Linked DNA regions of Arabidopsis thaliana. The protein of the gene in region 1 interacts with the protein of each later gene in a pairwise test. Each region holds a gene or a part of one and is shown on either strand. Other genes may lie near its edges. The genes, in order: AT5G27490, AT5G42200 and AT4G37445.

Region 1 (5,776 bases):
CATATACTTGAGAAATGACTATAATTCGAGAGTGCACTATTCACATCTTCAATTTTTTTTTTATATTGAATTTTAATCTTTATGGTGTATATATCTTACAAATAATTATATTTAATTCAATTATTTCAAATATATTGATATGAATTTAAATATATTAAAATTAAAATTGAAGTTATTGAAATATAAAAAAATATAACGTTTAAAAACAATAATATTACATTAAACAATTTAACAAACATTAAAATTAACATTACAATAATATATACATGAAATAAACACACAAGTTTTATTTTATGTTTCTTTTCTAGTTTATATATAATTTTTTAGTAACATGTAAATTTTTGTTTTTCTAATATTTTTTTATATAATTATTTTTGAAATGTACATATTAGTTTTTTTTATGAAGTTTTATCATTATAACAAATTATTGTTAATATTGAGATCTATTATGTAAACACAAAAAAGTTTTAGAAATAGATTAATTTGAGGTTTTGTTGTTGGATTAAAGCAAAGTTCCCACTAATGGTATAGTTAGTGTAAACGAACTCTAAGATCACATCTTTGGAATAAAATCTCCTGTCTTTACATCAAATTCAAAGAGTTGTGTAGAATTGACTAACTCAACCCTCAAATCCTTATTTTGAAAGTTTATGACCCTTAAAATGAAGGTCATTGTTGGAGATGATGTAATTAAGGTTCTACGCGTTGTATCGAATTAAACTACATGCTCCACCGCTTGTTAATATTTTGAACCCCAGATCTAGTCCGGCTGAATCATCTTTCTAAAAAATTAAACTTTATTTTATTTTATTTATCTTACATTGACTTCTAAATTATCTTTATTCCTCTTTCATAATTATTAAAGATTATGAAATTTGTTTTTAGCAAAGAAAATTAGATTATAATATTATTAGCGGATACATATAGTTGATTAGATTATTTAGTCTTATTCAAACAATGACATTTGCTTTGAATACATTTACCGTAGTATACACCACTTATAAGAACACAACATATATCACATTTGCTGTCTCCTCCCGTACACAGGTCTGGACTGTAGCATTGTTTATGTGCTTGCTTCTTTAATCCTAAACCTATTTAACAATAATCATTAAACAACCGTTAATAAAAAAAATCAATAGACCCATATTTATTTACACATAAAAGTAAACATTTGCATAATGAAAAATAGTACCAGGAAAACTATCAGAGCAATGACCAAAAGATACAACGAAGATAGTCAGGACAAACACGATTAACATTTTCTTGCTAATAGTCATTTCTATGATTTTGACTTAATTTTGTTTTTGATGTTTATGCTTTGTTACAAATGGTTGTATTATATATATATTTTGAAGTCAAAAACGAAAAAGCAAGAAAATCTTTTAGTTTATCTCCTCAGATTATAATCAAAAGAAACTATATTAGGATGATTTTCTTACATAAAAATATTTGAACATTAGTGTGATCAATAAAATCTATTTGTACTTATGAATACTATCTTTTTGTAGAAATAAATGTCCTTGTATATATGTTTGATAATAAATTATATAAAAATTAATATATATGTATTTATAGTAATATCTTATTGTATATATTTTGGTTTCTAAGAGTTAGTAATTAACACGATCACAATACGTATCAAGTGTAACGATTAGAGATATCTTGCCATGTTAGAAAAAATTATATGATTTGATGTTAAGAAAGAGAAGTTTATTATAAAAAAAACTTTTGTTTATTATAAGAAGACTTTTGTTTATTCTCTACTAAACCTCAAAAAATAATTATTATACTATTTTTTAAGATGATATATATGTATAAGAAATTATACAATTGATTACTAATTTTATATAGCATGTGATTTTTGAGTTAAATGTATTGATGTACTTAATTTATATGCACGGTAAAGCTACAAAATTTTGTGATTTTGTTTTTCTAATAAAAAAAACATAATAAAAAACTTTGATTTAATCAATGTTATTTAAATATTATTTTACCGTTTTTATTGGTTTAAAACATAAAATCTGTACCTGGTAATTTAAATTTTTAATTTTATATGAATCTGATGATTTAAATCTTCAATTTTATGTTGACTTTTTATTTAATCTCGAATTCTGGTTGACTAAGCCAATTGAGACACATCGTTAACTGGAGCTAACAGATAGTATCATTGTTTAGTTTTTAAAGAGTGAGATGAAAATAATCATACTCGTGTAGAAGAAGATTTTTTTTTTTTTTTTTGCTAAATTGTAAATATTTCATAAAATGAAAACAGTTTAGGTTACAAACATAATTTGAAACCTAAAAGTATGAATCCATAGCAAAAAAGAATAAAAAAACATGGACACATAAAATCGGTTAATTAAAACCAAATTTTCGGTCCCTCTTCTCGACCTAAGCAATAAAGCGGCAGGAGAAAATGAAGCGATGACGTTCGAATCTATTCTTCTACAAGAATGTGTTGCAAGAGCAGAAGGGCTTTAGCTAATTGTTAAAACACCCAAATGCGACAGATCAAGAGCGTTAGAAGCCTTACTGGTTTACGTAGGACGCTAGAAGAAGGGCGATGACACTTCGTCGATGACATCTCTGTTTACGTAGTTAACAATTTGTCTTATTTGGTTTTATCAACAAAAATTCGTGATTAAAATAAAAATCAATATAAAATTAAGAATTTAAATAACAAGATTCGAGTTTATGTTTTAAACCACCAAAATAACAAATAACAAAAATTGTAAAGTCATGATTTAAATAATATTTCTCCAGATTTGGCGCGAAAAGTTTGCACTGAACGCTTCATATCACTTATGTAAACAACATTGATTAGATTTGACTCGCTTGAGATTTAATTAAAATCGGATGACAAAAAAAAAAGAAAATGATATTTCCCCTAATTAAAAACCCTGTATATAAAAAAAATGGTTTGATTGCTACTAAACGAGAAAGAGGGTTTGTGTTATTTCTGTTGTTTCAGCTGTGAGAAAGAGAAAAAGAAGAACGAAGATGATGATGTCCGGTGGAAGCTACACGAACATCGATCACCAGAAAGTTTCTGGATCTGTACCCGTAAGCTCTTTCGTTATCTGATTCGTTCATATGTTTCTGTGATCCTTCTCTTTACACTTGTCCATTGGATTGCATTGTCGATTCTCGTTTCTTATCTCAATCTGATCAGATCTAGTTTCCATTATCCATCGTAGGCTGTTCCAGATCCTGGACATGTCACCGTCAAATTCGCAGGTAAACATTTTCGTATTCTCGTAAGAATGTATTAGTTTTGAATCGGTGATAGAACGGAACTAGGAAGAGCTTAGAGACATTTTGTATTTAGTGCGTTGAAGGAATTTTCAATCTAAGGTTTATAAAATTTGAATAACGATAAGATTTAGCAATTGTGTGTGTTATATATTGTTCTGTGATTTGATTGAGGGATACATTGTAAATGCAGACTCAAATCTACAAACGTTTCCTCCATCTGCTACTCAGGGAAAGATTTCTGGTGGTACTAATCCTCCTCGAGATGCTGACGGTAACTTCTCCTTTCGATTGAGTTACGATTTTACGGAGTTTTGCTCGTTTTTTAGTTAGAAGTTGACTGAGAAATGTAGGATATGAGGACTTGTTCATCCACTTCTTTATGTTGATTGACTGAGTTTTGTATGCCTTATTGGCTAATCTTATCGACTTTCAACCGGTGGCAGATACATTTTCGAGGCCTGTGAATGGTACTACAGATGAACCTCAGTCTAGTGGTTGGCTTCATAGATTCACTGTTGGTGCTTACAAGCCTTACTTTGATGTGGACACTTCAGATGTCGTAGAGAGACTCAAAGAATCGCTCTTTCCGTTTAGAGGAACATTTACGGAAAAGACAGCCAACAACCCTGATTTGTAAGAGTCGAGTCGTTACAGTTTTTTAGCTAAGTGGACTGATTTTGAAGGAGTTTGTTGCGTGGATTACAGGTACGGGCCATTCTGGATATGCACAACATTGATCTTTGTAGCAGCATCCATAGGAACATTTGTTACATACATAGCACACAAATTGAAGAAACAGGAATGGAACTACGATATTAATCTGGTGACTTGGTCTGCAGGAGTTTTCTACGGTTATGTAACTATTGTCCCTCTCGCATTATACGTTGTTCTCAAGTACTTCTCTGCACCATCAGGCTTAGTCCAACTCTTCTGTCTATACGGATATTCCCTATTCGTCTTCATCCCTGCATTGGTTAGTTAGTTTTACAAATTCCTCTTTTTACTCCCAATGAGACATCCAATGTGGAAAAACCCGAGACTAAGAAAATGTCGTTTCTGCAGTGTCTCTCTGTTGTGCCATTAGAGATCTTCAGATGGGTTATTGCGGGTTTAGCTGGATTCATGTCTGCTACATTTGTAGCATTGAATCTCAAAGCACATATTAACTCTGCAGGAGAGAGATGGTTCTTGATTGTGGTCAGCATATTTCTTCTACAGCTCGCTCTCTCAGTAGTGCTGAAGCTATATCTGTTCACTGTCACCGTATAAATTATTCCCTCAGGGGAAGAAGCTATGTTTTTTTTTTCTTCTTTTCCGGTGGTTTAGCTAAGGCACAATTCAAATATCCCGTATAGAGCATAAAAGGAAAGAGTTATTATACCTTGGAGACTGTCCAATTTTTGTAAACTAGAGACTGAATCTGTGATGCACGATTCTTCTTTCATTTGTTATCATCAACAGAATATGCTTTGACACACAATGTAGAGATCGTATATTAAACTAGTTAAGTCCCGCCTATCTAGATGGTTGTAATATAAAATTTCTTCAAATATTTATTTATAATATTTAAATTTTAAATAGTAAACCATGATCCACACATTTATTTTAATATTTATTTTAATAATTTTTGTATTTAACAAAATTTTAATCATACACATTCAAATTTTACAATATACTAGATTGATAATTCGTGCTTCACCCGAGTGTTAAAATTTGATATATAAATTTCGAAGATTTTTGGAAACTATTGTACTATGACATTTTAATTGTATTAGGGTATTTATTTTGTATTAACAAAATATAGTGTTTTTCAAAAACTCAATTTGGAACACATGAGAAGAGAATCTGTCAACTGGGTTAGGTACAACCACTTTGAAGTTTGAGAGTATATACCATTTTCCTTCTCTTAATGTAGAAATCAGTTCTTCTTTGTATGCATGTAGAGGAGACAATGCATCGATTCGATGTCCCAGAGATCATATATAAAATCTCAGTGAAGATATATAAAGTATTCAAAATCATAAGCATTGTCTTTTCTAAATATATAAAGTATAAAATCTCAGTGAAGATATTGTATGGATGTTTATATTCAAGAGATCCAGTAAATAACAACTAAACTTGAAATAAAAACTGTAAATAGATTTTTCATCCCTGCTCATCAACTAAAATCATAGTAGGTTCTTCCCCGAAATAATTAGGAGGCCAATTCCACAACCTCAATAGCTTAACACATACAGAACTTTTCGTTTTTTAGGACGCAAGTCAGAGAAGTTCTTGAAATTTGACATTTCCAGAATAACTCTTTTTCTTCTTAGTGTTTTCTTTTTTGTGGAAAATGAATGAGATAAGAGGAGAGTCTATTGATCTTTCCAATAAACGTAACTTCTTTTTTCCGAAAATAATTATATCTTCTCTGATTTTTCAAATTTCACCCAATGAATGATTACTTTTTTTTGAATTATTTTGAGGGTTTCAAGGTTCATTGATAAACCCTATTTTTGAAAATACAGATTAATCA
Region 2 (4,686 bases), 7.2 Mb from region 1:
AGAAACGAAAATAAAAACATTTTAGTAATAAATTAATGTAAATAATATAAAAAATACATAATGTAAATTAATATTGTTCTTTATATTAATGTAAATTAATGTAAACCAGTCTAGTAAATATAGCGCCTATTTAATTGAAATTTATTTGTTAGAAAATAAATAACTACTTTAACGCATTATCTTCAAGTGCTATCTTCTTTAACTTTTTAGTGGATTGGACTTCTCCGTCGCCTCTAATTCCTAGAACATGATTGCTATTATTTTATACAGCTCTCAAACTAAAGTACTTTTTGTAAGCATAGAAGAAGAAAATACTTTTAGTCTCAAAGTAAGGTAAAGAGAAATTTTGAAATTCCATTTCACCGGTCACAGAAAAGCAAATAAATCAACGACCCTAGCTTTGAAATTCCATTTTACCGGCCCAAAACACAAATGGCCATACAACCGCAAACATTGTATAATACGATAGCTCATGATTTCTTCATTAATAATTAAAAGAAACAGAATTTATAATTTTGTTGGAAAAAAGTTAAGCAGGTTAAATTAATAATTAGCATTGCTTTTTCAGAACTTAAATGTCGAGAAAAGTGTTGTGCCATGTTGTTCTATATTCTGTTGGCTAATTTATTTTCTTCCAAAATGAAAGAGCTTCAATAGTAGTATTATAGAGCTTTTATGTTGCTCTATTTTCTGAGGTTCTTAATGATATTTTTTCTGCTTTGTATTCTTCTGTATGGACTAATTAAGATTCTGAGTAGTAGTCTAAGTAAAAACATATTTTCATATAAAGGTTGTATGAAACTGGTGTAGAAATGTGTTTCGTGTGAATCCAACGTACGTAATATGAACAAACACGTGACAGATAGGAAAACATTAAAAGGGTGTTTTACCAAGACATTATGACGTTCAAGTAATTAAATAACGAAACCACAAGAATTGATTGAACACCATAAAAAAATGTGGGTTTTATAAAATCCTAGTTTTGTTTTACATAACGTCACATGCACTAGGACACCACCTATCATGTACATTGTATGGCTCTCATCATACTAGTCAGACATATAAGTACATCTTTAAGTACAAGAGTTTGCCCTGATTAACTCAACACCTATATCGCTGTCTATTTAACTGGTAAATTTTGCTTGGACTAGGCTTAATACCATTTACAATTACAGATTCAAAAAAAGAAAAAAATAAATAAATTCATATAAAAATTAGTCGAAACAAAAACCAAATGATGTTAACAAAAACGAAATGAACACTATTGTTAACAGAATCCGGCATACTCAGCTTCATAAACAAAGCTTTAATCTTCTTTAACTTTGAAACCAAAAATTATATTACCATTAAAAATGTATATCCGACTGTACTGATCACCACCACTTTTATCATCAACAAATCTCTCATCTTTTACTTCTCGAAAATAATGGTGAGCTTTATTATATTCTATTTCAGATTCCTAAAAGTCCGCTTAAAACCTTTAATATTGTTAGACTCTTGTTTCATATTAATTATAGGATGTTTTAGTTAAAAATACATATTTTAAGATTTTATTTTCTAACTATCATTGACTCCATAGAAATTTAGGGAGTAAAATTTAGTTTTAAAATTTTTAACCAATGATAATAAAATATTAAATGCATTGAAAAGTTGCATAGAAATTTGTAAAACATCTTTTATTTTGAAACCAAAAAAACAATTCCCCAAAAAATCCTATATTCTAAAACAGAGGGAGTATTTTCCAAAAAATGTTTGTCAAAGATGTTATTTTCTAAACTGCTTATTGTAACTAGCTAATAACTTCCCCTCTACAATCTGTCTCCGATCTTAAGCATGCCATCACAGACATATGGTGGCCAATAACATAAGCATACAAAACCTTATCCTATATGCTATCTCGTGCTCGATCACATAATTCATGATCTTTTGATTGACAAAACAAAAGAGTATTATCCAGTTCTACTTTCTCCATGTGAAACCTCTTGAAAACATTTTTCACACACTCTTTTAATGATAGGGTTGAGATTTTCTTTCGTTATGTTAATTCTCATTCCAAAAATTTAGTTCGATCAAATTACTAATTATTTTATATATTGGTATATAGGAATGAAATAATAATTATTAAATTTTTTTGTTGTAATAATATAAGTTTATAAATAAAAAATCTAAATTTGGATATATATATATATATATATATATATATATGTGTGTGTTAGTGGAAGCCATATATCAAATCGTTTTCATTGCCATTTAAAATTGACGTTTTATAATAATTCAATGGGGCAAAAGAACCTGGTGTATATAAAACAAGCAAACCCATAATAATAAAGAAAAGCTGATTGTACGAAAAGAAACAAAATCATAACAATAATAGTTTAACCTAAACCCTGATATTTGGCTCTACCGTGTCCTAGCCTCTCCTCTTTGTATAAATAGCCGTTACTCTTTTTCACATGATTTTCACTACCAACAACACTTAGAGAACAAGCAGAGGAATATAACTTTTTTTTTCTTTTTCCTTTTTGCTTTTTTACAACCAAAAAAATAAAGCAAGCCGTAGAGAGCAAGAGACGGTGTAAAGATGCACTACACACGCATCTCGCCGGCTTTAGTACCATCTCTATCACCAACCGCCGCGGCTGAATCTAGCGGTGGTGGGACGATGATAGCTACTGTTTTCATGGCCCTTCTCCTCCCCTGCGTCGGCATGTGCATCGTCTTCCTAATCTATCTATTCCTCTTGTGGTGCTCCACACGGCGTCGTATCGAACGCCTTCGATTTGCTGAACCGGTTAAACCGGTCACAGGTAAAGGCCTTTCGGTGTTGGAGCTCGAGAAAATCCCTAAACTCACCGGAAGAGAGCTAGCCGTAATAGCTAGATCAACGGAATGTGCTGTTTGCCTTGAAGATATAGAGAGTGGTCAATCGACTCGTCTAGTTCCCGGTTGCAACCATGGGTTTCACCAATTATGTGCTGATACGTGGCTATCTAACCACACGGTTTGTCCAGTTTGCCGCGCCGAGCTGGCTCCGAACCTACCTCAATGTAATGAAAATCAAAGTCCATGTTAGAAACAGAATTTTCAAAAACATTCTTTCCTTCTTTTTTACTCGTTTTGTGTACTTCTCTTGTTTTTCCCTTTTCTTAGTTTTGTGTAAGCGTTATAGAGAGAGAAGTTTCCAGGTTGTAACTAGCCTTGTTGTTTTTTTTTGTACATGAAATTAGTTTTAGAGTAAATTACGAAATTTACAGTTATGTCATTGTATTTACAACAATTTTTCTTCAACCATTACAATAAGTATATCAATGATAGAGTTAAACTTTGGGTCCAACAAAAAATAAATAAATCAGATCACTATAAAATGTGATGATTACTGTTTTTCCCCCACAACATAATGAGTACTATGATGATATCAATAAACAAAAATAAGTACATAAAGACATATTTTGTGTATTTATTATTTATTTAATAATGGAGGTCAAAACATTTTGACGCATGGCAATGTAAAGATCTGGCAGAATATGGGGATATAATTCTTAAGCTGTAAATTTTTCTGAATTACAAGAATTATATAAAAAAATTCACCACACATGACGAGGAAAGTAAGGTGGTAATTAGTAAAATGTACTTTGTTTTATTTTTTACTCCCCGAGGGTTTCAAATCAAGTATTAAATTGCTAATTCTTAGAGTGTTTGAAACTTTGAACAAAGATGTAAATTATTCTCTGCGTATATTTCTTGAGTTGATTAATATGGTAAGAAAATGAACTGTCCAGCTGCATGCTTTTAGTCACGCGTTTCTAAAAACAATCTCGAATTTACTGAAGAAAAAGTGATTGGATGCATTTACTTCTTCTTTTAAGAGAAAATGTCACCACCATCCTTTTCCAATCACCAATGATACGAAACCCATTCACTGATTCAATATAATATCTTCTTTGGTGGAAAATTTTGTTTATATGATTACATGTAAATTACACTATTTTTGGGTCAAAAATATAAATCACTATTTAATTGAGAAATATGTACTAGCGTTTCAAAACCTATTTTTTAGACAAATAGTTAGCATAGTTTTAGTTTTTGAGGTTTTTTATTTTATTTTATTTTCCTCAATAATCTATAATTTTAGTCCGAATTTGAACATACGTAAAAAATAAAAAAAATCCGAAGTAATATACTTTTCAACAAACCTGATTTTATTTTAGTTAACATGTGTAATATGGCCATCGGGCCACGTACAAATGTACTTCATTGTACAATATTGTTTCGGAAGAAAAACCAAAAAAACAAAAAAAAAAATCTTTCAAATAGACAGACATAAATGAAAATATCTGTGGTAATTAATGTGGGTTGTCTGTAACGTAGGTTTTTGGGCAATATGTATCTGTGGGTTCGGAATTTGTTGGCGTGAAGGAAGTGGAAAATATCTCAAATGGTAAAGAAGTAGGGAAAAACCACTTTTTGTGGCTTGACAAATCAGGTTCCAAAGTTGGGTTTTTATCGCTTAAATTAAGAAATTAATCAAATAGAGACTAATAAATCTATTTAAAAAAATAAAATTAGACCCATATGAAAACAAATATATTACCTGAATAATGTAAACAAAAAGAGAATGTGTGATTGGGGGTAGGGCAATCGCCAGCTAGCAAGTGGGATACATCTGTCTCTTAGATTAACTTCATT
Region 3 (4,491 bases), on another chromosome or scaffold:
CATGCTAATCTACCCACCATTGGCGAATAAATTTATTGCAGAATATAACAGGAGAAAAATGCCAAGAAAAAAAAATCCTTATAAAAACGCACAAGAAAAAAGTAAAAGAGCTATTCTGTAAAATAAAAATGAAAAAAGTATTGAATCCTACATTAATAGATACAGGATATGATGTTCTGTTTCTCAACGGCTACATCTGTCTGTGATCCTTTTTTAATCCAACGATCCAGATCTCTCCTCATCGCCTATATAAAACTCACTTCTCTTACATCAAACAAACAACACGCTTGGTTAAACTCCATCAGTACTTTAACCATCACTTCAAAGTTCAAACTCTTTTTTTTTTTTTTGTTTGATCCAAATTTTAACAAAATTATGGATCGCAATTTCCTCCTAACAGTTACATTGATCTGCATTGTCGTCGCCGGTGTCGGTGGCCAATCTCCTATCTCTTCTCCGACCAAATCTCCCACCACTCCTTCTGCTCCAACTACTTCCCCTACTAAATCCCCCGCCGTTACTTCTCCCACTACGGCTCCGGCGAAAACTCCAACTGCTTCGGCTTCTTCACCGGTTGAGTCACCAAAATCTCCGGCTCCTGTTAGCGAGTCGTCTCCACCACCGACACCTGTTCCAGAGAGCTCTCCTCCGGTTCCTGCACCAATGGTTTCTTCTCCAGTGAGCTCTCCACCGGTTCCAGCACCAGTAGCTGATTCTCCTCCAGCTCCGGTAGCCGCTCCGGTTGCTGATGTACCGGCTCCTGCTCCAAGCAAGCATAAGAAGACTACAAAGAAATCGAAAAAGCATCAAGCTGCACCTGCTCCGGCTCCGGAACTTCTCGGTCCACCTGCACCACCGACTGAATCTCCCGGACCTAACTCCGACGCTTTTTCTCCCGGTCCTTCCGCCGACGATCAGGTACATTAGCTTATATCAACAATGTTGATATTTATCTACCGTCACAAGTTCGAGTATCAATGTTAAAAATAACCAATGAGACATTTCAAAACAGTGAACATAGATTTTCAATTTTTGTTATATTGATTTAGTAATTACATATTCGATTAACTAAAATGAAAATATGGAATTGAATGCAGAGCGGAGCAGCGAGCACAAGGGTGTTGAGGAATGTAGCGGTGGGAGCGGTTGCAACCGCATGGGCCGTTCTCGTTATGGCATTCTAAATTATTTATCATTTCACCTCTGATATTTTTTAGTTTTTATATTTTTGACCCTACCATTGTCTCTTTCTTTACGAATTTGGTAATGAGTATTATTTAATTGATTATACAGTTTGTTTTCTTTTATTTTATTTATATGGAAATAATAAGAATTCATATCTGTCAGTGATGAAAATACTGTTTTACACATTGATTGTTCTTTTCTTTTGCAGACAAAAGTCCTTTAGTGATGGGTCCGAGTTCTTTATTGAAAATGACACATTCAATTTTAATGCAGAATTATGGACATTTACTCTAAAATAAAATGTTTGTGTAAGTAACGTCTATGTAACAATAAGCAAAGCAGTTACATAATTTGTTTTAGTCTTTTAAATGTTTAAAGTGTTAGTAAATCAAATGTTGATATTTACGTTTGAAACCAATTACATGTGTTTCTTTAAACAAATATTTACAATTGGAGTATAATTATGCGAGAATGAAAGTGTCAGCTACTTAGTTGGATCTTAGTCTTTTATAATGTGAAGTTGGTAAATATTTATTGAATTCATATCTGATACCCAACTCAAGTGGCCAAGTTGCTATAAATGAATTGTCTAAAATTTATTACTAAACATGTATAGATCCAACCAATCATATAATACAATGCTTTTTATTGTACCTTTCAAATAGCTAGATTCATATTTTTGTCTTGTTCCTTAGAGAACTAGATTTGAAAAAGAAAAAAATTAATGGATATCTAATATGGTAGGCAAAAAGAAAGTGAGAATAGAGGACAAGTCATATTCCCCATGCTTTTATTAAAAGTACATTACTCAACTGTGAAGAAATGGCTAAGATTTTGTAAGTAAAGCACAAGTTATACTTGAACCAAGGTCTTGTGTAGAGATTCAAGATTCTTGGCTTTGCAAAGACACAAACCCACCAAGCCAAGTCTCTGATTCCACACACCAATACAAATTTGTATATAAACATAACATTTTCTTCTTCCTAAAGACTAACTTCTAGACAATATGGGTAGTTCAATGGGCTTTCTCGGAAAAGGTTTTGCAATTTTTTAACCTAACAATTATCGACTCAAATCGTTATATAACCGTTTTGACAAATTTTCGTCCTATATATCTTTCTAAATAGATTTCGATATTTGGCCTAGGGGTACCACCGACGCAGATGATGAATATGGTAATGGGTTCACTCTACAAACAATTTACCCAAAAAGCTATCAACAACTTCGACGATTTCCACGTTGCTGTTTTAGACATCTTTAAGTAAGGATTGTTTCATTATTTGATCATTCGAAAACAATGGTTATGTTGGCCAACATTTTTTTTTTTAAAAGGAATTTTATCTATTGAGTGCAGCAACTTCAACTCGGCTTTACCAGGCAGGCACTTCGATTTCCCAACCCCGGACCAAATAAAGGTGAGTCCTCTCCTCTATCAAAATCACACAAAGAATCTTATAATAATTTCTCTATATTTTTAACACAATGTTGAATGATCTAAACAGGTTTGTTTCGCGCGGTGGAAGGAAGCGAAAGACGAAGAAGAGAAGAAAAAATTGTTCATTGAGTTCATGTCAAAGAGCGTGAAGCCAAGTAAACTCGATGATGTCACTATGATCACCGGAATAGTATCTCCACCGGCGGCAATGGCGGCTAAGAGAGCAGGAGAGAATGTTCCTCAGTTAAAATTAATCAAACTTATACCTGATGTTATATTCGTCCCTACGGTCACCATTTTAGCCATTGTCTCTGCCAAACTCTCTAGACGAATGTATTTGAAATAGTGTTTTAACTAAGCTTTCTTTCTTTTCCAAACAAAAAAAACTTAGCACCGACAAGATATAAAACATGATTGATTGATAATACAAAATAGAGAAAAATATATACACTCTAAATTATAGAAGTAAAGTTCAAAAGTTGATGTAGTTTGAATATATTGTTGACATGAAGAATCAAAACACAGCCACTATAAATATTTCTTTGTACTTTAAAGGCTTAAGAGTTAAGAATATCTTAGAATGAACAATTTTTACTTTTTAACACAAGATCCGATTAGTTACTTGAAAGTTTCCAAACCTTCTTCAGGATCTTCTTCGTAACCCGGCAGAGCCTGACCTTCGTTTTCCTCGCTTTCTCTTCCTGTTGGAAAACCTAGAAGCCATCACAGCATTAGACTTTGGCTTCTCTCTTGAAACCCGACGCCTCTTTGGGTTACTCTCTTCCTTCGTAATGATTTCACGATTGCGCGGTGTTCTTTTCCTTACCTGCGTTGTGTTAGAATGGCATATGAGACCAAAAGGGTTTAGCAAAGTTACACTGAGTTAGCGGAAAACTTACAGGTCTTGATGGACCTTCCTCAATTGAAGCTTGTTCTGTCTTCACTAGATTCTTATCGGGAATAATAGATTTCCCTTCCCTTCGCTTTGATGCTAGAATCTCAGACAGTAAAATATCTGTTGTCTCGTCGTCTTCAGGTGAGACGTGATGAGATGAAACTGAAGCAGATTTCACCGGTTTTTCTTCAGAGATGATCGATTTCTCATCTTCGTTTTTGATAGCCAGCAGGGGCTTTTGTTGTTCTGAGCTGGTGTATACATCAGCAGCTCCAAGTGGATTCACTGTGTTAGCCAGAGGGAATATACTTGGATTTTCACTCAAAACCTTGTCTACGCGGATCTTCAAGTTACGGGCTTCTGACTTTGCTGCTTCAATTTTCAAAAGTATCTGTTCCAAGTACGCATCGCCTTCTCTAAACTCGAGAGGCGGTGTCTCTTCAGAGAAAGCTGTCTCATCCTTGGCGCTCTTATTCTTCTTATCTGATGACCCAAGACAGAAAATATTTTATAAGATCAAAGTTTTCAAAAGGAGTAATATCATATCATAGTTGAGATTTTAGAACACCATACCTAGGTTGCGGGAGTTGTCATTAAGAGCAATATCGGCCAAAGATTTCCGACAATCTATACAAAGATCAGAAACAATAAGATAAGAAATTATTAGACAAGTAATGGTAGATGAACATTAATCACGACCAGAAAGACAAGAACACCAAACTAGTTCCATACCATAATAAGAGAAGAGATTATGGTTTGATGCATAGGATGTAACATCAGCGGTCTCTTCAACTCGCTTTCTCGTTTTCCTCTTCATGAGTCGGGTTTTCTGAGTATAACATGGAAGAGGAGGTAAAGCCTTTACTCCAAGTTCTTCTGATTTGACATTTTCTAACTCCAACTTCTTGGCTTGGTAATATTCTTCAACTTCTTTGTCGTACTTCTGTGCTTGGTTCTGAAGTTCTTTGTATTTGAG

What was found.
Region 2: the proteins of AT5G27490 (region 1) and AT5G42200 interact in a protein complementation assay, tested with the Arabidopsis thaliana proteins (one large-scale study listed by BioGRID).
Region 3: the proteins of AT5G27490 (region 1) and AT4G37445 interact in a protein complementation assay, tested with the Arabidopsis thaliana proteins (one large-scale study listed by BioGRID).

Annotation. Positions count from the first base shown.
Region 1 is NC_003076.8:9,701,881-9,707,656, reverse strand, and holds AT5G27490 (Integral membrane Yip1 family protein), read left to right. Parts: upstream 1-2,913; 5' UTR 2,914-3,003; coding exon 3,004-3,066; intron 3,067-3,200; coding exon 3,201-3,240; intron 3,241-3,448; coding exon 3,449-3,529; intron 3,530-3,701; coding exon 3,702-3,891; intron 3,892-3,963; coding exon 3,964-4,231; intron 4,232-4,291; coding exon of another isoform or gene 4,292-4,320; coding exon 4,321-4,527; 3' UTR 4,528-4,822; downstream 4,823-5,776. Other genes in the region: AT5G27495 (Defensin-like (DEFL) family protein), read right to left, coding at 937-1,094, 1,196-1,280; AT5G27493 (uncharacterized protein), read right to left, coding at 4,111-4,223, 4,292-4,463.
Region 2 is NC_003076.8:16,857,942-16,862,627, forward strand, and holds AT5G42200 (RING/U-box superfamily protein), read left to right. Parts: upstream 1-2,344; 5' UTR 2,345-2,581; coding exon 2,582-3,073; 3' UTR 3,074-3,349; downstream 3,350-4,686. UniProt on the Arabidopsis thaliana protein: E3 ubiquitin-protein ligase able to catalyze polyubiquitination with ubiquitin-conjugating enzyme E2 UBC8, UBC10, UBC11, UBC28 and UBC29 in vitro.
Region 3 is NC_003075.7:17,602,619-17,607,109, reverse strand, and holds AT4G37445 (calcium ion-binding protein), read left to right. Parts: upstream 1-2,165; 5' UTR 2,166-2,191; coding exon 2,192-2,222; intron 2,223-2,312; exon of another isoform or gene 2,313-2,331; coding exon 2,332-2,446; intron 2,447-2,539; coding exon 2,540-2,600; intron 2,601-2,687; coding exon 2,688-2,966; 3' UTR 2,967-3,016; downstream 3,017-4,491. Other genes in the region: AGP18 (arabinogalactan protein 18), read left to right, coding at 169-918, 1,098-1,184; AT4G37440 (uncharacterized protein), read right to left, coding at 3,264-3,446, 3,520-3,998, 4,089-4,142, 4,248-4,491.